3 linked regions of the Stegostoma tigrinum genome follow. The protein of the gene in region 1 purifies or fractionates together with the protein of each later gene. This does not show direct contact. Links are inferred from orthologs where the notes say so. Each region holds a gene or a part of one and is shown on either strand. Other genes may lie near its edges.

Evidence for each region. Proteins that work in one complex are often made in the same cells at the same time.
Region 2: the proteins of cullin-1 (region 1) and fbxo21 purify together in Homo sapiens (affinity purification with mass spectrometry; 6 studies listed by BioGRID and IntAct, with this or other methods). This does not show direct contact. The link is inferred for Stegostoma tigrinum from reciprocal best matches to the Homo sapiens genes CUL1 and FBXO21.
Region 3: the proteins of cullin-1 (region 1) and fbxo42 purify together in Homo sapiens (affinity purification with mass spectrometry; 9 studies listed by BioGRID and IntAct, counting the BioPlex papers as one, with this or other methods). This does not show direct contact. The link is inferred for Stegostoma tigrinum from reciprocal best matches to the Homo sapiens genes CUL1 and FBXO42.

What each region holds. Positions count from the first base shown.
Region 1 is NC_081355.1:98,233,531-98,240,571, forward strand, and holds the start of cullin-1, read right to left. Parts: upstream 3,106-7,041; 5' UTR 2,826-3,105; intron 1-2,825. UniProt on the Homo sapiens protein: Core component of multiple cullin-RING-based SCF (SKP1-CUL1-F-box protein) E3 ubiquitin-protein ligase complexes, which mediate the ubiquitination of proteins involved in cell cycle progression, signal transduction and transcription.
Region 2 is NC_081379.1:30,199,025-30,207,113, reverse strand, and holds the start of fbxo21 (F-box only protein 21), read right to left. Parts: upstream 3,037-8,089; 5' UTR 3,015-3,036; coding exon 2,827-3,014; intron 1-2,826. UniProt on the Homo sapiens protein: Substrate-recognition component of the SCF (SKP1-CUL1-F-box protein)-type E3 ubiquitin ligase complex.
Region 3 is NC_081381.1:31,101,415-31,109,128, forward strand, and holds the start of fbxo42 (F-box only protein 42), read left to right. Parts: upstream 1-4,678; 5' UTR 4,679-4,823; intron 4,824-5,178; exon of another isoform or gene 5,179-5,305; intron 5,306-7,714. UniProt on the Homo sapiens protein: Substrate-recognition component of some SCF (SKP1-CUL1-F-box protein)-type E3 ubiquitin ligase complex. Specifically recognizes p53/TP53, promoting its ubiquitination and degradation.

The DNA.
Region 1 (7,041 bases):
TCTCAACAGTTACAACCCTGAAACATGAGTCACAAAGAAAGACTTTCAAGGCCTAGACATCTTCAGCTTCATGAATGAGTGTCCATCCCTTCACAAGGTCAGATTTAGGGGTGTATGCTGATGATTACATAACATTCAGCAACATATATGACTCCTGCATAACGAAGCTGTCACTGCGCATGTGTAATGCCTAGACAACATTTAGGCTTCGACAGTTGGATGGAAAGTGACACCCATGCCAAACTAGGAGCAAGTAAAGGCCATCTCCAACAAGACAGAATCGTCATCTGCTCAACACTCAAAACACTGCACCTCCCAGTCGTGAACCATTTTAACTCCCCCTCCCATTCCTCAGACGACATGTCCATCATGGGCCTCCTGCAGTGCCACAACGTGGCCAGCCGAAGGTTGCAGGAACAGCAACTCATATTCCGCTTGGGAACCCTGCAGCCCCATTGGTATCAATGTGGACTTCACAAACTTCAAAATCTCTCCTTCCCCCACTGCATCCCAAAACCAGCCCAGTTCTTCCCCTCCCCCCACTGCATCACAAAACCAGCCCAGCCTGTCTCTGCTTCCCTAACCTGTTCTTCCTCTCACCCATCCCTTCCTCCCACTCAAGCCACACCTCCATTTCCTACCTACTACCTCATCCCACCTCCTTGAACTGTCCGTCTTCCTTGTACTGACCTATCCCACTCCCTACCTATCTCCTTTTCTCTCCATCTTCATTCTGCCTTCCCCTATTTACTCCAGAACCCTCTCCCCATACCCCTCTCTGAAGAAGGGTCTAGGCCTGAAACGTCAGCTTTTGTGCTCCTGAGATGCTGCTTGGCCTGCTGTGTTCATCCAGCTTCACACTTTGTTATCTTATATTCAATGATATTAACACTGTCAAAATCCCTATGCTTTTGGGTCATGACAAACCACCCGTCTCACTGGGTCAAAATCTGAAACATCCTTCGAAACTCAGTGGTCTCCAGTTACCCTAAGGGCTGCAGCCATTGAAGACAGCATTTGGATGAGCAACAAATGCTAGCCAGATAGTGATTACCACATTCCACAAATTAAGAAAACAGAAATAGAGACAATGATAGGCTAAAATTTCTGCAACAAGTGATCTATCCAAAATCTGTCAGGTGCATAAGGACAGATAGATGGATCACCACCATCCACAGATTGCCCTCCAAATCACTCACAATCTTAAATGATGCAATGCTAACAGGTATTTAAACTATACCAATTTGAGCATTTGAACCAAAGGATAGAATTATTGACACCCGGAGAAAATGATTAATTACCTGCAGGCTAAACTACTCAAATGGATGTATGGTGAGTTTCCACAGCCTCATACAGATAACATACACGATCATCTGATCTCGGAGAATCTGAGCACTGAATTCTACGAAGCAAGGCATTTCAGGTAAAATCAAAAATAGTTCCATTGCTTTCTACTGCTTGCTCTGATGGGCTTTTGTGTTTGTTGCAACGTATTAGCATAGTTTTCCAGGATTCCAGCATCCACTGCAGAGTCCACCTCCAAAAGCCATATATTTGTCAACTAGCTAGTTAATGATCCAAGTAAGTGCATAAGTACCGCTGACCCCCTAATTGGATGTCAGATTACTGAATCTGCCACAATGAACCACTTGGCACCAGCTCTACACAAGGCATTCCATTTCTCTCTGGGAGGCCCCGAGACATTTCCTCAACTGCTGTTGAGAAAAATACCATCTCTTGGTTAAAGTCTGTAAACATCAGACAAAGGCTTAAAGCAACAGTATGCATAAAGTACAAATCACAGAGTTGTAAGACAGTACACAAAACTGTTAAACAGTAACATTTTACATATACACTATACTAAGGCTCTTTTCCACAACACTGGCAAGACCAAGTTATGAAGAGAACAATGTTTGTTTCATATCCACTGACTGAAGCATGTCAATTGGGGTAGAAGCAATCACAGTGCGTCATTGTATAAAACAAACAGCGGCAAACTAAGAACTACTAGGTTGAATTACGGGAAGTGATTTTTGGTGCAACGCAATCTTCTAAACAGTGCTTTTGTTGACACAGACGAAGCGTTTAAGTCTTAGAAATAACAACGTGACGAGTTAAGTTGGCAACTGTGCAAGACTTCGTGACAACTTATTTCGTTTATTTAAATAAAACGATAGAATGTAGGTTATATGCGGAAACCCAGATGCTTTTAATCCACTAGATAACATTGCAGCAATTTATTTATGGGCAATGTTTAGGATCCAGAGCGCTGCTCACAAAGCGTCGAATCAAACGAAGATCGAGGCCTCGGTCCCTGGAGCCGAGTGGGGGTAAGGGGGATCCCAGATTATTTGCGGAAACTGGCCGGCGAGGACGACTAGAATCTGTCGCCGGCCGTAGGCGGAAACTAATCAGCTCCTCTTTGCAGTGCGCCACAAACAGAAGGAATCCCAAGGCCCGGCTTCTCGGGACAGGCCTAGATTAGAGCCTCGGCTCTCAGATTCATCACGGCCGAAAAAGAAACCTTCCCCATACGGAGACAGAGGCTTCCAACTCCTGCTACACAGCACCGACCCCATCACCTAAAAGTTTCAGCCGCTGGGGCCGACTGACTGAGGAGTGAGGTCGGGATTTGGTGGGGGGAAATCCCAGAGGCCTGTCCCTGGGCCTCGGGCTCTGCCAACAACATGGCGGTGACTGCGGCCTCCCGCAAACGGCCCGAGTCACCATGAGTCAGGGAGGCAATGGTTGGGGGGCGGGGGGAACCCCAGAGCTCTTTCCCTCCAACCCCACCTTCCAGCCGCCGCCGCCTCCACTTCACTCACCATCGTCCCCCTCACCGGCTCCGTCCGCTTCGCCACTCTGCTTCCGATTTAATTTTTCAACCGACTCCCGGCGCCTCGTCTCCACAGGTTCCGCCCCGCCGCCTGCAACTAATTCCTTAAACAACAGTTCCGCCGCTCGCCCACATCCTCGGGGCCTCTCCCTCAGCTCAGCTAAGCTCCTCTTCAGTTTGTTTTAATAAAATGACGAAAGGGCAAACACGTGAGGTAGTCTCGACAAACAAATAACATCGTTGGAACAAACTGTTCATCACAGAAGGGATTCGATCTCATTGCAGCTGGGCTTCCGGAAAATTTTGCTGGCGACTGTTTTATTTCTTAAGAAACGCGAAATGTTTTTGTCTACCAGGTCCCCCCCCCAAAAAAAAACTCAACGAGGTTTGTGCAGTAAGAGGGTTCAATTTTTTTTAAATTTTTAAATGAAATCAGATATTCAGCTATTTAAGTTTGAGATAGATTAATATATATATTAAAAAGGCATTTGCCACATTTGTACTGACCACGCAAGGTTTTACTGGTTTTAAATACTGGAAGAATTGATGATAACAGAAGTTGCTGGAAAAGCTCAGCAGGTCTGGCAGTGTCTGTGAAGGGAAAACAATCAGTTAAATTTTGGGATAATGGGAGAGATAATGTGACCCGTCTTCAGAACCATTCTGAAACGTTAATTCTCATTTTTCCTTTCCTGGTTTTTAATCCTCTCGATGTCTCCAGGATTACATTTGATATGAAAGATTCGAGTAACCCAACTGTGAAGATGGGCCCCTGGGAGGTTAGTCACGTCCCCCAAGTATGTTGTTGTGTTTGCAACAAATTGCGAATTCCTTATTTAAGAAATAGACCGAAAAACGCTGTTGCTATGGGATCAACTTCTAAATGAGGCAGAAGCCATTCAAACCTAATCCACCAATATCAAATCACAAGTCGTCTGTACCTCAACCCTGTATACTCGCATGTCACCCATATCGTATTTAACCTAACAGTCTGCGGAGACATAATAGGAACTGCAGATGCTGGAAAATCTGAGATGACAAGGTATAGAGCTGGATGAACACAGCAGGCCAAACAGCATCAGAGGAGCAGGAAGGCTGACGTTTTGGGTCTTGACCCTTCTTCAGAAAATCATTTTCTGAAGGGTCAAGACCCAAAACGTCAGCCTTCCTGCTTCTCTGATGCTGCTTAGCCCGCTATGCTCATCCAGCTCTACACTTTGTTATCAACAGTCTGCCTATACCAATTTGATTACTTCAATACACCCAGCATTTACAGCCTAGAACAAAATAGTTCCACGTTTCGCCCACACTTAGACATAGAACATTACAGCACAGTACAGGCACTTCGGCCCTCGATGTTGTGCCAATCTGTCATACCGATCTCAAGCCCATCTAACCTACACTATTCCATGTATGTCCATATGCTTATGGAACGACAACTTAAATGTACCTAAAGTTGGCGAATCTATTACCCTGCAGGCAAAGCGTTCCATTCCCTTACTACTCTGAGCAAAGAAACTACCTCTGACATCTGTCCCACATCTCTCACCCCTCAACTTAAAGCCATGTTCTGACCTATCTGTAATTTTAAAAGGTATAGATTTCTTGTTCTAGATCCCCACCATAAGAAATAGTTTCTCCCCAGAAATAGTGATTTGTGAATTATGTACCACACCACATCACTTGCCATTCCACCACTCTAAAGCAAAGACATGGTTCTGGAGAAACTTAGCTAGTTTGGCAGCATCTGTGGTGAAAGAAACAGAGTTAATGACCCAAGATGGATATGGCTTCAGAATAGTTCTGGTTTGACTAAGGCTTCCCCACAGTGAAAGCCAGAAGCAATATATTTTCCCTAACCACACCTATCATTGTTCTGAGGTAGTAGGAAGAGTCTAGGCCCAAAACATCAGCTTTCCTGCTTGGCCTGCTGTGATCTTCCTGACTTTGTCTCATCTGCAGACTTAAATATACAAATTTCAATTTTTTCACCTGAATCGATCAAATATGGTGAAAAACTGAACTCAGCAGATTTCTGGAGGACACCACTGTCACATCCTGTCAATCAGCAACATTCCCTTTAGTCAAACTCTGATTTAAAGTCGGAGAGAGACTTACAGCATGGAAACAAACCTTTCAGTCCAAGTCATCCATGCTGACCAGATATCCTAAACAAATCTATACCCATTTGCCAGTATCCCTTTACACATACCCATCCAGATGCCTTTTAAATGTTCTAATTGTACCAAACTCCACCACTTTCTCTGGCAACTCATTCTTTCCACGCACCACCCTCTGCATGAAAAATGTTGCCCCTTAGGTCCATTTTAAATCTTTACCCACTCTCCTTAAACCTGTACAGGACATTGGTGAAGCCTCTTCTGGAATACTGTCCAGTTCTAAGCGCCCAGTTACAGGAAGGATATTAACAAGCTGGAGATGGTTCAGAAGAGATTTACCAGGATGCTGCTGGGTATGGAAGGTTTGAGTTATAAAGAAAGGCTGGGACTTTTTTCCAGGTCACCTCTGAACCTCCAATGGGCTAGTGATAAAAATTTATAAAATAATGAGGTATAAAGTTGATGGTAGTTGTCTTTTCCCTCAGATGTGGAATTTCAGCATTAGGGGACACATTTTTAAGGCAGGAGAAAAGATTTTAAAAAGACAGGCAATTTTTTCTTTTACACAGAGGATAGTTGGCATACAAAATGAACTTCCTGAGGAAGGGGTGGATGCGAGTACAATTGCAACATTTAAAAGATATTTAAGTCAATTCTTGAATCATGGGGTTTCAGAGGCCAGGAGCAAGCTGGTGGGACGAGTGTAGTTTGGGATTATGCTTGGAATGAACTGGTTGGTCTGAAGTGACTGATTCCATGCTGTATGATTCTATGACTGTGCCCACTAGTTTCGCACTCCCCTCACCCTAGGAAAAAGATCTTGTCTGTCTATTTACCCCATCCGTGCCACTCACACCTCAGCCTGACGTTCCAGGGAAAAAATCACCCCAGTCTATCCATCCTCTCCCTGTAGCTCAAAACCTCCAATCCTGATAACATTCTTGTAAAACTTTTCTGAACCCTTTCAAGTTTCACACCATCATTCCTCACTGAAAGTGGCAACGCAGGCGGAAAAGGTAGACAACGAGACATATGGCATGCTTGCCATCATCGGCCAGGGCTTTGAGTTTAAAAAGTGGCAGGTAATGTTGCAGCTTTATAGAACCTTAGTTAGGTTGCATTTGGATTATGTTCAATTCTGGTCACCACACTACCAGAAGGATGTGGTGGCTTTGGAGAGAGTACAGAGCAGATTTACCAGGATATTGTCTGGTATGGTGGGCATCAGCTATGAGGAGAGGTTGGAGAAACTTGGATTGTTCTCACTGGAATGAGTGTGTGTGAGGGGCGACCTGATAGAAGTCTCCAAAATGATGAAGGGCACGGACAGACCAGACAGTCAGAAGCTTTTTCCCCAGGGTGGGAGAGTCAGCTACCATGGGGCATGGGTTTAATGCGAGGGGCAAGGTTTAAAGGTGATAACTGAGGCAAGTTTTCTCCAGAGGGTGGTGGGTGCTCACTCCTGGGGGATGTAGTGGAAGAAGATACTACAGAGACTTTTAAAGGGCATCTTGACAAATACATGAATAGCATGGGAATAGAGGGATATGGTCCCTGGAAGGGTAGGGGTGTTCGGTTGTGATGGATAGCATGTCAGTGCAGGCTTGGAGGGCCAAAGGGCCTGTTCCTATAATGTAAATTTTCTTTGTTCTTTGAGACCAGCATTGCATACAGTATTCCAAAAGTGGCCTAACTAACATCTTGTACAGCACAACATGACCTCCCAACTCCTTTTCTCAATGCACTGACCTATAAAGGCAAGCATACCAAACGTCTTCTTCACTATCCCATCTACCTGCAACTACCTCATGCCCCCTTTTTGCCCTCCTGATTTCCCCCTTAAGTATACTTCTACTGCCTTTGTACTCTAAGCATTCACTGGATCTCTGCTGTCTATACCTGACATGTGTTACCTTGTTCTTGACCAATACCATGATTTCTCTAGTCATCCAGAATTCCGTATACTTACCAGCCTTGACCTTCACCCTAACAGGAATATACTGTCTCTGGACTCTGGTTATCTGATTTTGACGGAGCTCCATTCTCCAGCCGCCCCTTTGCCGATAAACATTTGCCCCAATCAAC
Region 2 (8,089 bases), on another chromosome or scaffold:
CAAAACATGAACTTTGTCGTAACTTCTTTTTATAATTTCTGTAATTGAAATGGTACCAACTTTTGGTGACTTACACACATCTCACTGTATTTTCATAAATATCAGAAACAAATTGCTATTCTATTCTATTTTGCTAGTACTTCAAAGCCCTTGCCACTGTACCACTTGCTGTTGTAATTGCTTTCTGTACCTTTGAAAGAGCATTAACTTGAAATCTTAACACCGTTTTTCCCTCCCTACAAATGCTGTTAGATCCACTGAGTATTTCCAAAATTTCCAGTCTTTAAGTTCACATTTCCCACAATGCTGCCTTTGGATTAGACATTTATTTTTGAAGCCACTGTGATAAGGAATATAGTTTAGGAGCCGGAGTACAAGTGTGCACATCCAGCCATGGCAATTTATATCTGAACAGCTGCATCAGCCCTTATGATATTGTATCCTTCTACTTTTCTGGTCTTTACCTATTAACACTCCTAAAAGCCTGCCTATGCTTTGCAATACCAGCTCCAAGTTATGCCCAATAACTTTGTCCATAAATCAAACGCCAGCACAGGTAAATGAGTTCTGGATGCCGTTCTTCAAAAGGTAAAGCGCAACAAGAACAATAACAATGCATGGCCAAAAGTTCGAAACCCTACTTTTTCACCGTCAAGCCACGGGTTTGAATCTAGTCTCAGTGTCCTCTGTCTAACATCGGTGAAGTCCAAACAAAACGAGTTAGAAGTTTTCCATCTGCACACTACTCCTCAGAATTAAACTGTCAACAATTAATTACTAATAGCAGTAATTTGATAATCTCAGTCAGAAGGATCACAAAGATAAGCATTGGTCAGTGCGAAATGGGAATGTACATTGCTCCAGTGAGCATATTTTTCCAAGAGCTGGGATTTAGATCATTGGACCAATGTAGCAGGAGCTTACACGAGCCAATGAAGATATGTTTTGACTAGAAATACGAACACTGAGGATTATGGAGAAATAAAACAAAGTTTCATCTCCCAGCAACAACATTATCTGCCCCTTTTCAGGTCACTTGGCAGAGCTTTTATGTTTACTGTGCAACTACAAAAGCAATGTTAAAAGATAGATTATCCTCATGAATCTCAAGGAAACTGCAGCTAGCAACCCAAGAAAATTTTGCTCTTTATATTTCAGAAGGGGAATTGAAGGGGGAGAAGGGAGCAGCAAGGAGAAGTGAAGGTTTCAGAGTGAAACGATAAAGGAAGACTGAAAAATGACGAGTCTGGTATTCAGACAAATGAAGACTGTGGAAATGGGATGGCATGTGGTGCTTCATTTCTACAGAACTGGGAGCACCAGTGAAGGATAGTTTCCATCAAAATGGGTGGGCTCAAAACACGATCACTGAAAATACCAGGAAGGCAGACAGAAGGAAGGATTTTAAACAGAAGAGCTATTATGTTTCACAATACTTCACTACATACAGCTACTCAAGCAGAGATGAGAATAGGATTTAAAATGGAATTAGATCAGTCTAAAGAAAAACAAAATGTTCTGTTGAAAGGAGTTGCAGGAGTTCCAATGTCAAGTGTCAAATGGCCTCCTCCTGCTCTGCAAATTCTATAATTCTAAGAAAACTCACATACAGTGAGACTAAGCCCTGGGAACAAGCAAGAAACTGAATAATTTTGAACTCAAGAACACGGAATTTTAGTCGCAGTTTCGGTAAATTGAAAGATGGTTTGGAAAACCCTGTATTACCTACTCAGAAGAGTACAGCATGCCCAAAAGTATCAAATTCAAAGGACTGGGCACAAACTTTGACTGAGTTTGCACGTTATTATTGTTGGTCACTAACTGCTGTATTAGCTTTAAAATTACAAGCCAAGCAAGCTCTGACATACTTTGGTGGACGAGAGGTAAGGAAGGGTGGTAAAGAGAGCAGACTGTTTGAATTGTGGAAGAAAAAGGAAGAGAACCCACTAGCAGTCTGGTGTTTCCAGTGCAAAAGTCAGAATTTTGGTAACTTTAGTTTGATGGAAGAGATAGTCGAGAAGGAGACAAAGGATAAGTTTCTGAGCAAACATCAACAAGAACTTTAACTGCTTAGTCTCCTAAAATAGAAGAACTCAATTGCATCAAGTTTTGGATTGCATTATCAAAATGTTGTAAGCATCACTGTCTGTGAATTTCTAATGTCAACAAAACTGTTTAGAAAAGTCTAAGCTGCATGCCTCCTGTTAAAGTGTACACTAAAGCTATCAAGAATTAAGAAATCTGCAAAATGTTGATCTACGCAATCTCTTGGCATAGTTCAGGTCAGTCTGCGCCAACTAGTTGCAGTTTGTGCAAGTTCAAGTACACACTGGCTCAACTTGAACTTCCAGTTCAGAGCTGATGTTTGAACATTGCCTAGCTCAAATCAGAGCAGAAAGAGAACCACAGTAAAATAGCAAAGTACTTGCGTCTTGACTCAGAAAATCATCTATACTTTGAGTTGTAGGATTCTTGCTGGACCAATAGTGTGACTATCATTAGGTTTACAAGATTATTATCAAGGACATTAGGGTCAAGATAGGGCCCTGAGATCGTTTGCATACATTTAAGCAGACTGATGGCGCCTGGGTTTACACAGCTCCACTGACAATACTGCAGTGCATTGGTTTTTGTAGTCAAGCCTAGCAGCCGGAATTGAACTTGGAATTTTGCGATTGAGACGACAGTCACAACTGACACACCAAAAAAAATGTTTATTTAGCCAGATGCCTTAAACTGGTCATTTTTAAAGGACATGAAACGACACGAGTGATTTTTTTTGAGCAGGGTCAGAGGTAGCTTGCTCGGCCTGTTTGCTCTGCCTACCTCCGCCTGAACTGGTGTTTCCACACGGCGCTGTGGCCGTGACAAACCTCCTGCAGCTTCTTACAGGCCAGGCAGGCGCTCACCACATCCACATGGCTCAACGACGGGCAGCAGAATATCTGCTCCAGTACCTCCTCTGGCAACCTGATCAATCCTCCACTCTCCCCACAAACATCCAGCTCGGCCATTTTACTTGTTTACATCGGACACCCTGGGCCAAGCGACTTCCGCTTCCGGCCCCGCCTCCCGCGGGAAATTCAAATCCCTTCAGGCCTGCCTCCATGGGGCAGGGACATCCCCTTTCATGATAATGTGTCAGCAAGTGGAATAACATTTACTAGCACCGCACTGGTGTCAATGTGTGTACATGAATGTTTCAGCGAGTGTTAGAAATGTTAATCCTGCTTGAATTTATATGTTTTCCTATAACTGGGAAAAAATAAGTTACTCTATCGGAAAAAAAGTGTGAATCTCCAAACAACTCCCAGTTCCTCTGCCTCCACCAGGTCACAGGATGAGGCGTTCCACTCCTGCACATCCCAGATGTCTTCCTATTTCAAAGATTGTTACTTCCCCCGTCCATTGATCGAAAATGCCCTCAACTGCATCTCTTGCGCTTCCTGCACTTCAGCCCTCAAATTCCCCCCCAACTGAAATAAAGACAGAATCACCCTTGTCCTCACATATCATCCCATCAAACTCCGCATACAAAGTATTATTCTCCACCACTTCCACCACCTACAATCCTTGGCTCCACAACCAAAGAGATATTTCCCTCCCCGCCCCTATCTGCCTCTCTCCGTGACTCTCCACTAGCCCCACCATTCCCAGCACCTTTTCCTGCAACCACAGGAAGTGCTACACCTGCCCCTACACCTCCATCCAAGGCACAATGCAAACTTTCCACATTAGACAGGGGCTCACCTACACATCCGTCAACTTTGTCCACTGCATCTGCTGCTCCCGATGTGGCCTCCTCTACATCAGTGAGACTAAGCGCCGACTCGGACATCATTTTGTAGAGTATCTGCGCTCTGTTCGTGACAAATGACAACAACTTCCGGTTGCCAAGCATTTTAACTCCCACTCCCGTTCCCAGTCCCTGGGTGACATGTCCATCCTGGGCCTCCTCTAATGTCTCAATGACACTATTTGCAAACTGGAGAAACAGCACCTCATATTTTGCCTTGGGAGCCTACAGCCCAATGGCCTAAATGTGGATTTTACCAGTTTCTAAAGTTCCCCACCCCCAGCCTCATCGCATGTCCAATCCCCACTTCTTTGATCTGACACAATCTGTCCATCTTCCCTCTCACCTGCCCACTCCTCCCACCTCACTGATCAATCCCCACTACTGCCTACCTGCACTCACCTGTCACCATCCCAACTACCTTCACCCCACCCCTCCTCTATTTCTTAGCTCCCTACCCCTCCCCATTTCTGAAGAAAGGTCCTGACCTGAAGCATCAACTTTTTTGCTCCTCTGGTGCTGCCTAGCCTGCTGTATTCTTCCAACTCCACACTGTGTTACCTCTTTCTCCAGCAATTGCATTTCCCACCATCTCCAACAGACATTTGATTGTCTGTTCACTAGTCCTCGCCCCATCTTCTGCATAAATATCAACCTTTTCCAAGCTACCATCAATTCTGAAGAAGGGACACTGGACCTGAAACGTTAACTCTGATTTCTCTCCAGAGATGCTTCCAGCCTTGCTGAGCATTCCTAGCAATTTCTGGTTTGCTTTTGTTTCTCATTTCCAGCACCCACAATTCTTTATTTTTACTTGATTGTTTGGTCCTGGGATTACATACAAGCTCGTCGGTTTACAAATCCATATCAGTACTTTATTCTTCGCTTAAACATCAAAGAACATATTTGAAATATACAATGGGCTCTTGACCAGATGGAACAATGGGTGGTGGAGTTGAATTTAGATAAATGTGAAGTGCTGCATTTTGGAAAAGCAAATCAGGGTAGGGCTTATACACTTAATGGTAAGGTCCTGGGTAGTGTTACCGAACAAAGAGATTTTAGAATGCAGGTTCATAATTTCTTGAAAGTACAGTCGCAAGTAGATAGGATAGTGAAGAAGACATTTCATACATAGCCTTTAATGGTCAGTGCATTGAGTGTAGGAGTTGGGAGGTCATGTTGCTGCTATACAAGACATTGGTTAGGCAACTATTGGAATACTGTGTGCTGTTCTGGTCTCCCTCCTATAGGAAGGATGTGAAACTTGAAAGGGTTCAGAAAAAAATTACAAGGATGTTGCAGGGTTGGAGGGTTTGAGGTACAGGAAGAGGCTGAATGGGTTAGGGTTATTTTCTGTGGAGAGTGGGAGGCTGAGGTGACCTTATAGAGGTTCATAAAATCACAACCAACATGGACAGGGTAAATAGACTAGTCTCTTCCCCGGGATAGGGGAGTCCAAAACTAGAGGGCATAGATTTACAGCGAGAGGGTAAAGGTTTAAATGGGGAACCTCTTCACACAGAGGGTGGTTCTTGTATGGAATGAGCTGCCACAGGAAGTGGTGTAGGCTAGTACAATTACAACATTTAAAATGCATTTAGATGGGTACATGAGTCGAAGGGTTTTGGAGAGATATGGGCCAAATGTTCGCAATGGAACTAGATTTATTTAGGATAGCTGGTTAGCATGGACAAGTTGGACTGAAGTGTCTGTTTCCTGCTACATATCTCTATGGCTCTAATCTCTAATTTTCTAATTAGAGAATCTCTAATTCTATTTATGTGTAACTCAAGAAAATACGTAGAAAACCCATTCAGCCATTAACAATATTTTTATCTTTAAAATACAATGATCCCAATACTGTTTCTTTATTCAAAAGGCTGGCTCTTACTCCAATTTGTTTCTATTTTCTACAGTATTCCTGGACACACTGCTCCTTATCATCATACTGTAGGTGAAGTTGCTACATTTAAACTTACATCTTCTGCTACAGATTCAAAAGAATCCCATTTTAAAAATTTTTTCGGTAAACTCTACGATCGCTTCCTCAGTATAAATAATAAGATTCACATAGTCAATCATCACAAGTCTAACCACCTAATCTTCAATAAAAAAAATGAAAGGACAGTGCATGCTGTAAATCAGAGACAAAAACAGAAGTTGCTGATAAAGCTCAGCACATCTGGCAGCATCTGTGAAGAAAAACCCTTCCTTACACTGGACCCGAAGCATTGACTCTGATTTCTCTTCACAGATTCAGCTAGACCTGCTGAGCTGTCCCAGCAACTTCTGCTTTTTGTTTCACCCAATTCTCAACCTCATTACCAGTTTAACCGCCTTCCTCTGTTACCACACAAAAGGAATTTGAAAAGGTTCCTCAACAAATGCCTTTCATCTACTGTACATATTACATCATTAAAGAACACTAATACATTTGTCAAATATGATTTATTTTTCACAAAATAATGTTCACTCTACGTGAATATATGATAATTTTCTAAATATCCTGCTATTAATTCCTTAACAATGGACTCTAATGTTTTCCCAATGAGAGACGTTAAGCTGAAGTTTCCTGCATTATGACTCTCTCCTTTCTTAAGGCATTACATTTGTGGCTTACTCAGTATTTCTGTAGCCATTTCTTTTAAGACCAAAATCCTTTGGCATCAGAGATATGGGACTTGTCAGCCTTTAGTTGCATTGTTTTCCTGTTATTTTTCTTTATTGATCACGATTAATTTACATTCTTCCATTCCTTTGCCTCTTGATTTTCTACCATTATTAGATTATTTATTTGTACCTTCTATTGAAATTACACCCACAACGTTCTTGTTCCAAGTCTCCCATTTCTTTGTCACCAATTATTAATTCTAACTCTAACCCTTTCCCCCCATCCAAGCATCAATCTGCAACTTATGCCAGAAAACATAGCCAAAAATTAGTCATTTATTGAGCTTCTAAGACTCATCCTTTATGGGACTGAAATATTTATTTTCTTTAGTTACAATTTTCCTTTTTTACATACTTGATAGAAGCTTTTACTGTGTATTTTATATTTTTTTCTAGTTTTCTCTCATGTTCTAATGTCTGTATATTTTCATAGTCATTCTTTGGTGGTTTCTAAATGCTCTACAATCTAACTTACAAGGAATCTTCACAGCATGGTAAATCTTTTCTTTCAATTTAGTACCATCTATAATTTTCTGAGACATGGTGCATTCTACTCATAGTCTTTCTTTCTCAATGGAATACATCTTTCTTGGGAGCTATGAATTGTCTCCTTAATTGTTCAAATTGTTCAACTTAATCTCCACCAACACCCTATCAGACAACCAAAAGGATATATTAATGGGATTTTACACTATGTGAGAGGAAGTCTGTCATCTTTAGAATTCATATGAAGATCACCACCTCTTTGCCTTTTTCACATAATCCCCTTGAGTTCATTGTTACACGGACACCTGTGACTTGGTGATGTGGTATCCCACAGGGACTGTTGATATGACCTTTTCCCCACTAAGTGTCACTTTTAAGTCCTTCCTGTACCCTCATGTACACAGCCCAAAATTGGGCATTTATTAAACTTTTCAGAATAAGTACTCCCTGATGACTAAGGAGATTGCTTCCAAGTCCAGCTCAGTCTTAGATTCTCTGGAGACTTTCATACAATTCAACCAAGATCATTAAGATATGTATATTTACTTCCATGGGTATAACAGGATGAAAAAATCCTCAGAGACTGATCTCCTGGGGTCCTCAATGATATTATTAATTATATTTGTTAAGCTTAAAGCCACAGGCTGACATTTCTGGGTCAGATATTTATTTTAAGTGAGGCCAACATTCCATGGTAATGTTTTTAACCTCCTTTGTTTAGAATAAAAACAGAATAAAAACTTGTTAAGCTCTGAAGTCTATTTCAAGTGAGACTTATTTTTTGCAACAAACATATAGCAATTTGATGTGTTTTATTATAGTTAAGAGCACCAAATATTAAAACACTAAATATCTAGAACATCTTAGTTTTTAATCAACTTTCATTCTTAATTAGGCTAATTAAATAGCATATTATTAATTTTAAAGGATTTTTAAATCTGTCTCACAATGGGTATTTTTTTCTCAAATTCTTCCCAATGGACATGGCTTGACCTTGGCAAATTTCCATAAGTTGGCATCTGCAAGTGTACTGAAACATTGAGGCTTTTTTTAAAGTTTCACCCTTTTTAGGAAAGGTTTTCCAGAATGATTGTTCTGAAACTGATTAAAAAGTTGTTTTTTTTTAAACAGAGC
Region 3 (7,714 bases), on another chromosome or scaffold:
ATTAGGGACATTTAAACAGTCCTTGGATAAGCATATGGATGATGATGAGATAGTGTAGGGGGAGGGGCTTAGATTAGTTCACAGGTCGGTGCAACATCGAGGGCCGAAGGGCCTGTTCTGCGCTGTATTGTTCTATGTTCTGTATTTGGATATTATAGATACTTTTCATAAAATCCACATTAAATGTATCCCATTTATAAATAACCATTGTGATAATATACAATATATAAATGATACTGTACAAAATATGCTCATAGTATATCATATCATAATCCCTGAAGTAACACAGTGAAGGATTAGTGTGGGCAGCAATGATGGATAGCTGTCATCTGCCAAATTAAACCAGTTTAGCAAAATGTGATCTAAGATCTATTACCCAGTTTGCTTTGCTGCGAAGGAAAATTAATGAATGGAAAATCAAGAGGCAAGAAAAGGCACCGGGGATTAGTGGTCTGTTAAACTCCCTGTCCAATTTTCTCCCATGTTGGTTTCAATGGAAAGAATAATATATGAATATGTAATAGGTAACTGTTTTGCAACAGTCTATTTCATACCCCTGCTGTAGTTGAATTTTGTATCAAATTTCTACTTTGGGAATTTGAGGACCTTTTTAGTCCAAAACAGGATAGGTTGCAACTCTTTCTAATTAAAATAGTTGCTGGTGCAATTTCCAAATGCTGGCCCAAATAAACTGTAGAAGTGTTGGTATTGGGTATTGTTGAAAACTTTCTATTAAAAGTTGAATTTGTTGAATCTGAATCCGTTTAAGGAGATTGTGTCTGTCAAGATGATTATTCAATTTTAGTGGGAGAGAACAGTAAACAAGAACCAAGGCAGATCAGTTTGATTTCTAGATGACATGGCTAACAAAGAAAGATTGCAGCTTCTTCATCTCAATGTTTGCGTGGCTGACAATTTAAAGCATAAACCAGATAGCTTCAAACTATTTCAAGGTACTGTTTATTTACCAATCACTTGTTCATTAATGGGGTCCGGAGAGGTTTGTCTGTGTGTATTGAGTGGGCCACTTCCCACTAAATGCTGCAGTTAACCCTGTTGGCCAACGCTTTAAAGGGTCCTTTAGTCTTTTATGAATCTGTACACCCCTACTGACCATCTACAGAGTTTGCCATTGCAGTGCAGTGATTTTAAAATTCCCATAATTTTGTTTAAATTCCTCCATGGCCCTGATACTCACTCTCTGCATAACACCACCAGACCCACAACCCTCCACAAAACTCCAATTCTTCTCTCGTAGGCATCATGCAATTCATTTGCCTCAGCATTCTAGCAGCATCATCCCGGCCTAAGCTCTGGAACTTAGTCAATGATGATCCCCCAGTAACAAAAAAGAAATTGCTGGTGAAACTCAGCAGGTCTGACAGCATGTGTGGGGAGAAAGCAGGGTTAATATTTTGAACTTGGTGACTCTTTTTCAGAACTGGTGATTTGCTGTGGAATATTTGACAATGGCAGTGACACTGGTTGTTAAAGGTAGTCATTGTAAGTGCTAATCGCCACTTATCAGTCCGAGTACATATGTTGTACTGGCCCCTCTGCGGGAGTGATTGCAAATGGAACTGGAATCAAGGCAAACATCCAGGAACATCTTCACTTCTGATATGGTGGCGAGAAGGTCAATGATAAAGCAGCTAATTGGTCTAGTACACTGCCCTGGGGAAATTCTGCAGCATTGTCCTATGGATGGAATGATGAGCCTCCAATAACTACAACTACCTTTGTGTTAAGTATCACTGCAGCTGATGGAGAGTTTTCCCAATGATTCTATTCCTCCTGAGTTTTTCAAGGACACGATGCCACACTTGGTCAAACACTGCTTAATGTCAAGGGCAATCACTTCTGCTTCTTTTCTGAATTGCAGCTGTTTTGTCCAAGTTCAGACCCATGCTGTAATGATGTCTGGAGCCAGGTGGCTCTGGTAAAACTTAAACTAAGAATTAGTGGACAGGTTATGGTGAGTACTTGACAGGAGTGTCTATGATCCCCTTCATCATTTTCATCATGAGAGGAGGCTACTGTATGGTAATTAGACTCATAGAGATGTACAGCATGGAAACAGACCCTCAGTCTGACTCATCTGTGCTGACCAAGTATCCTACATAAATCTAGTCCCATTTTCTAGCATTTGGCCCATATCCCTCCAGGCCCTTACTAATCAAATATCCATCTGGATATCTTTTAAATGTTGTAATTATACCAACCTCCACCACTTGCTCTGGCAGCTCATTCCATACCCGCACCACCCTCTGTGTGAAAAAAGTTGCCCCTTAGGTCCCTTCTAAATCTTTCCCCTCTCACCTTAAACCTATGCCCTCTAGTTTTGGACTCCCCCCATTCTGGGGAAAAGACCTTACCTCTTCACCCTATCCATGTCCCTCATGATTTTATAAACCTCTCTAAGATCACCCCTCAGCCTCCAATGCTCCAGGGAAAATAGCTCCAACTTATTTAACCTCTCCTTGTAACTCAAACCCTCCAACCCTGGCAACATCCTTGTAATTTTTTCTAAACCCTTTCAAGTTTCACAACATTCTTCCTGTAGCAGGGAGACCAAAATTGGTTGCTTTGTAATTTTTAATTTTTTTTATTTCACCAATTTTTCTAATCAACCTGTTCAGAGATGTTATTACACACATCTGGAGCAGGTGGGACTTGAACCCAGGACCCTTGTTCCAGGGGTAGAGAACTGGTTTTTCAGGATGAGGAATAAGTAGATACTTTTTCATTTTGTTACGTTAGTGCTATTAGGACAGTTTGGCTAGGGGGTACAGTTAGTTCTGGACCACCAGGTTTCAGTATTACTGCTGGGATGTTGCCGGGACCTGTAGTCTTTTTTGTATCCAGTGCATTCAATAGAAGATAAAGTGTGAAGCTGGATGAACACAGCAGGCCAAGCAGCATCTCAGGAGCTCCTGAGATGCTGCTTGGCCTGCTGTGTTCATCCTGCTTCACACTTTGTTATCTTGGATCCTCCAGCATCTGCAGTTCCCATTATCTCTCATTCAATAGAAGATGTGGTTTTTAGAGGCTAATCATCACATCAGTAGAACAGTACCACATGAATTCCCCAGGTCACTACACTGTTCTTTCATATTACTTGGAGTGCATTCAGTTGTTCAAAGATTGATTTCTTCAACAATCAGGCCGTCAGAAAGAGGCCTGATAAATCATCCATTCAGCACTTTTTGTTGAAGATGGTTGCAAACTCTCCAGCCTTTTCTTTTGCATTGACATGATCCTGAGCTCCCCCCGTTACTGAAGACGGAGTGTTAGTTATGACAACACTGCAATTCTTTGATTGAATCCGCAGGGGTTCATGGGATATTTTAGTTCCGAGCTGATCAGGATGTTTCTGAATGATATTCCTGTATGATAACTTCACTGTTTTAATTTTGATATGCCTGATACTGCTATGGCATGCTCTTCCAAACTCTTCGTTAAAAAAAAATTTGTCCCTTGATGGTAATGATGGAAGGAGAGGTATGCCAGGCCATGAGGTTTCATACTGTGATGGAATACAATTCTCCTGCTGCTGATGGACCACAGTGTCAGTTCTGTTCTGAATCTGTTCCACTCAATACAGTGGTGGTGCAACACAACACAGAGGAAGATGTTGTCAACATTGTGATGAAACTCTTCTCCACAAAGATTATGTGGTCTCCATTCCTATGAATAATGTCTTGTACAGATAGATGTGCACCAGGCACAGTTGGTCAGGATGATGTCAAGTTCACAGGAACATAGGATCAGGAGTAGACTATTCAGCCTCTTGAGCCTGTTGGACCATGCAATGAGATCATGGCTGACCTGTGGCCTGACTCCAAGCACCTATGTTTGACCTTGAATATATTCACTGACTTGGCCTTTACTGCTGTCTGGAGCATTGAATTCCAGAAACTAATGACTGTCGGAGAAGAAATTCCTTCTCAATTCTATCTGAAAAAGGAAAACTTTGCTTTGAAATTGTGCTCTGTAGTTCTAGATTCTCCCCCAAGATAAAAAAAACCTCAGTTTTAGAGCCTGAGATAACAAGGTGTAGAGTTGGATGAACACAGCAGGCCAAGCAGCACCAGAGGAGCAGGAAGACCGATGTTTTGGGCCTCGACGCCTGAAGGTCTTGGCTGCTGTGTTCGTCCAGGTCTACACCTTGTTATCTCAGATTCTCCAGCATCTGCTGTTCCTACTGTCTCTGAAACAGTTTTAGAGCCTGATGGGTTTCCCCCCTACACTGTCTTTTGTAATTCCAGATTTATTTAATGAACTGAGTTTAAATGCCCCAGTGGGATTTGAATTTGTCTCTGGAACATAATTCGACGAATGTGGTTCACGATGACACGTTGCTCATTTCTATTTTATGGAGATTTTCCAAACAACTTGTTCAGAGATATTGTCACACAGACACACACCCGTGGAGCAGGTGGGACTTGAACTCAGGCTTCAAGAGCCACTTGTTTCCATTTCACATAGTGTGAGATGCATTGACTGGGATGTGAATAGGGTCATTAGCAGCTCTAGGAAAGGATGTGGTGGAGGCGTACATACCAAGCTTGTCTATCTAGGCTCAGCAAGCGCTGAATCTGCCGCAGCGTGACGCTACCGCCAGGGGGGAGACGTGAGCAGCTGTGACGCTCCGAGTGCGTGCGCGCCGCCGCGGCGCTGTCGCTCCTGGCGGAAGATGGCGGATCGGAGCGACTGAAAGCGGGAGGTGGTGAGAGCCACGGGCTTCGCTCACACAAGCAGCGGCCTTGAGTGCACACCGAGCCGGCACAAGGCGGGCGAGGGTGGGGAAGGGAGCTCGTCCGGTGAGTGTCCGAGGGTCCCCGGCGTGGCACGGCACAGCCAGTGGCGGGGGATAGCTGGGTCCCGGCATGGGCTGCCAGCTCCCTCTTGTACATCCCCTTCCCCACCCAGCGGGAGGGGGAAAGCTCTGGGCAGGGTGGTGCCCGGCCTTAGGCTGATCCCGGGCCCCCACTGCCGGCCGTAGCAGAGACAGCGGACTCCAAGCAAATGGGGCTCCGCAGGCTGCTCACCGTGAGCCCAGGGCGCTTTGGGCCGGCATCCGGCCCTTTGTATTGGGAAATCTCCCTGGAGTGAGTGGGAATTGGCCACACGCCGCTGGTAGCCTTGGAAGATCTGGATCCAGGGTCAGGTGTAACGTCGGAATACACCTTTATTGAGAGCCCTCCTGCACCCACTTACCGAGACGTGGAACTGGATCCAGAATTGCTGGGCAGTGAATTAAAGAGAGGGCTGATTTCCCAATCTGTATGAGGGATAAACACAGGTGACAGAGTCCTTTGAACTCCGTAATGTGGGTGTAGTAACTGTGTGGCCTTTATGTCCCATCATATTCAAGACAACCAGTGTGATCTTCGTATGGCATACATTCAGTAAGGAAGAGGAGCAGCACTGTACCTCAGTGCTCTGCTTTAAATAAGGAATGTGCTAAATATGATGGTGTTTGTATTAGCAATAAGGAGGGCACATTAAACCATACTACCTATACCTGTAATTTGGTTAAGGAGGGGTGGTGAGATCGCTGAACTCATCAGGTTTGAACACAAAATTCAAAATGAGCTGTTGACAGATAGCCAGGAGATCTTGACTTTATTTTGGTTCTGTTGGTCTTTTAAGTTATTGGAAAAAATGGGAGGCATGATCTTTTCTGTTTCATCATAACCTGACTGCTTCAGATAAGTGGTCAAATTTTGCATGTTTTAACAGTGAAACTGAATCTGTACTGTTCTACTGATGCTTACTATTATCCTGGGAAAGGGATTTTTCAAATAAATGAGGACTGAAGTCTTGCAAAAACTGCACTTCGAAACACATCTTAATTTACCTTGAGAAAATATTTCAAAATGTGGTTGTAACTAAAACAGATAATATGGTTGCCTATTCCAGATTTGTTGTTGTGAAAGACTAGAATTGGTGATCAAGAAGCTGGTTTTCAGTTAGCCAGCTCAGCATCTATGCACTCTATCTTTGGAACACTTAGTTTTGATCACTGTTCATGTGTGGTTTTTGGAGCCAAGTCTTTACAGTAGGGTTACATTTTGAAATGTGTGGTTGTTGAAGTGTCAGTACATTATGGTATTGTAAAAGGGTTTCAGTAATCCTTGGTCATGGGCATATGAAATTTTCATTATGTCTGTTTGAACTATAAGAAGTACCCTGTGGGTTGAGTTTGCAATGTATTTTTCAAGCTGTCTAACAGTAGGGTTGTTAAAGGTCTCCACCTGGTGCTGGAAGTAGTTTAATGTGATGAATTAAGCATTGATAACAAGCAGGTTGTGCTGTCCATCAGAGATAATGGGAACTGCAGATGCTGGAGAATTTGAGATAACAAAGTGTGGAGCTGGATGAACACAGCGGGCCAAGCAGCATCGTAGGAGCACAAAAACTGATGTTTCGGGCCTAGGCCCTCCATCAGAAAAGGGGGATGGGGGAGAGGATTCTGAAATAAATAGGGAGAGAGGGGGACGTGGACTGAAGATGGTTAGAGGAGAAGATAGGTGGAGAGGAGAGTATAAGTAGGGAGGGGATAGGTCAGTCTGGAGAGGACGGACAGGTCAAGGAGGCAGGATGAGGTTAGGTAGGAAATAGAGGTGCGGCTTGAGGTGGAAGGAGGGGATAGGTGAGAGGAAGAACAGGTTCGGGAGGTGGGGACGGGCTGGGCTGGTTTTGGGATGCAGTGGTGGGAGGGGACGAACTGGGCTGGTTTTGGGATGCGGTGTGGGAAGGGGAGATTTTGAAGCTTGTGAAGTCCACATTGATACCATTGGGCTGCAGGGTTCCCAAGCGGAATATGAGTTGCTTTTCCTGCAACCTTTGGGTGGTATCATTATGGTACTGCAGGAGGCCCATGATGGACATGCCATCTAAGGAATGGGAGGGGGAGTTGAAATGGTTTGCGACTGGGAGGTGCAGTTGTTTATTGCGAACCAAGCGTAGATGTTCTGTGAAGCAGTCCCCAAGCCTCCGCTAGGTTTCCCCAATGTAGAGGAAGCCACAACGGGTACAGCGGATATAGTATACCACATTGGCAGATGTGCAGGTGAACATCTGTTTGATGTGGAAAGACATCTTGGGGCCTGCGATAGGGGTGAGGGAGGTGGTGTGGGGGCAGGTGCAGCACTTCCTGCGGTTGCAGGGGAAGGTGCCGGGTGTGGTGGAGTTGGGGGGGAGTGTGGAGCGGACAAGGGAGTCACGGAGAGAGTGGTCTCTCCGGAAGGCAGACAAGGGTGGGGATGGAAAAATGTCTTGGGTGGTAGGGTCGGAATGTAGATGGCGGAAGTGTTGGAGGATGATGTGTGTGGAGGTTGGTGGGGTGGTGTGTGAGAACGAGGGGGATCCTCTTTGGGCGGTTATTGCGGGGGCGGGGTGTGAGGGATGAGGTGTGGGAAATGCGGGAGACTCGGTTGTGGGCGTTCTCGACCACTGCTGGGGGAAAGTTGCTGTCCTTGAAGAACTTGGACATCTGGGATGTACGGGAGTGGAATGCCTGATCCTGGGAGCAGATGTGGCGGAGGCGAAGGAATTGCTGTCTGTTATTGGTCTTGTTTCTTGCCACTTTGTTGTTTTCTACTGTATAAACTGTTTGGCAAGCTGCATTACTAAAAGGTACAAAATAATCAAAAATGCTAATGGAAACTTGGCTTTTATTTTAAGGAAATTGGATCTCGGGAAATGA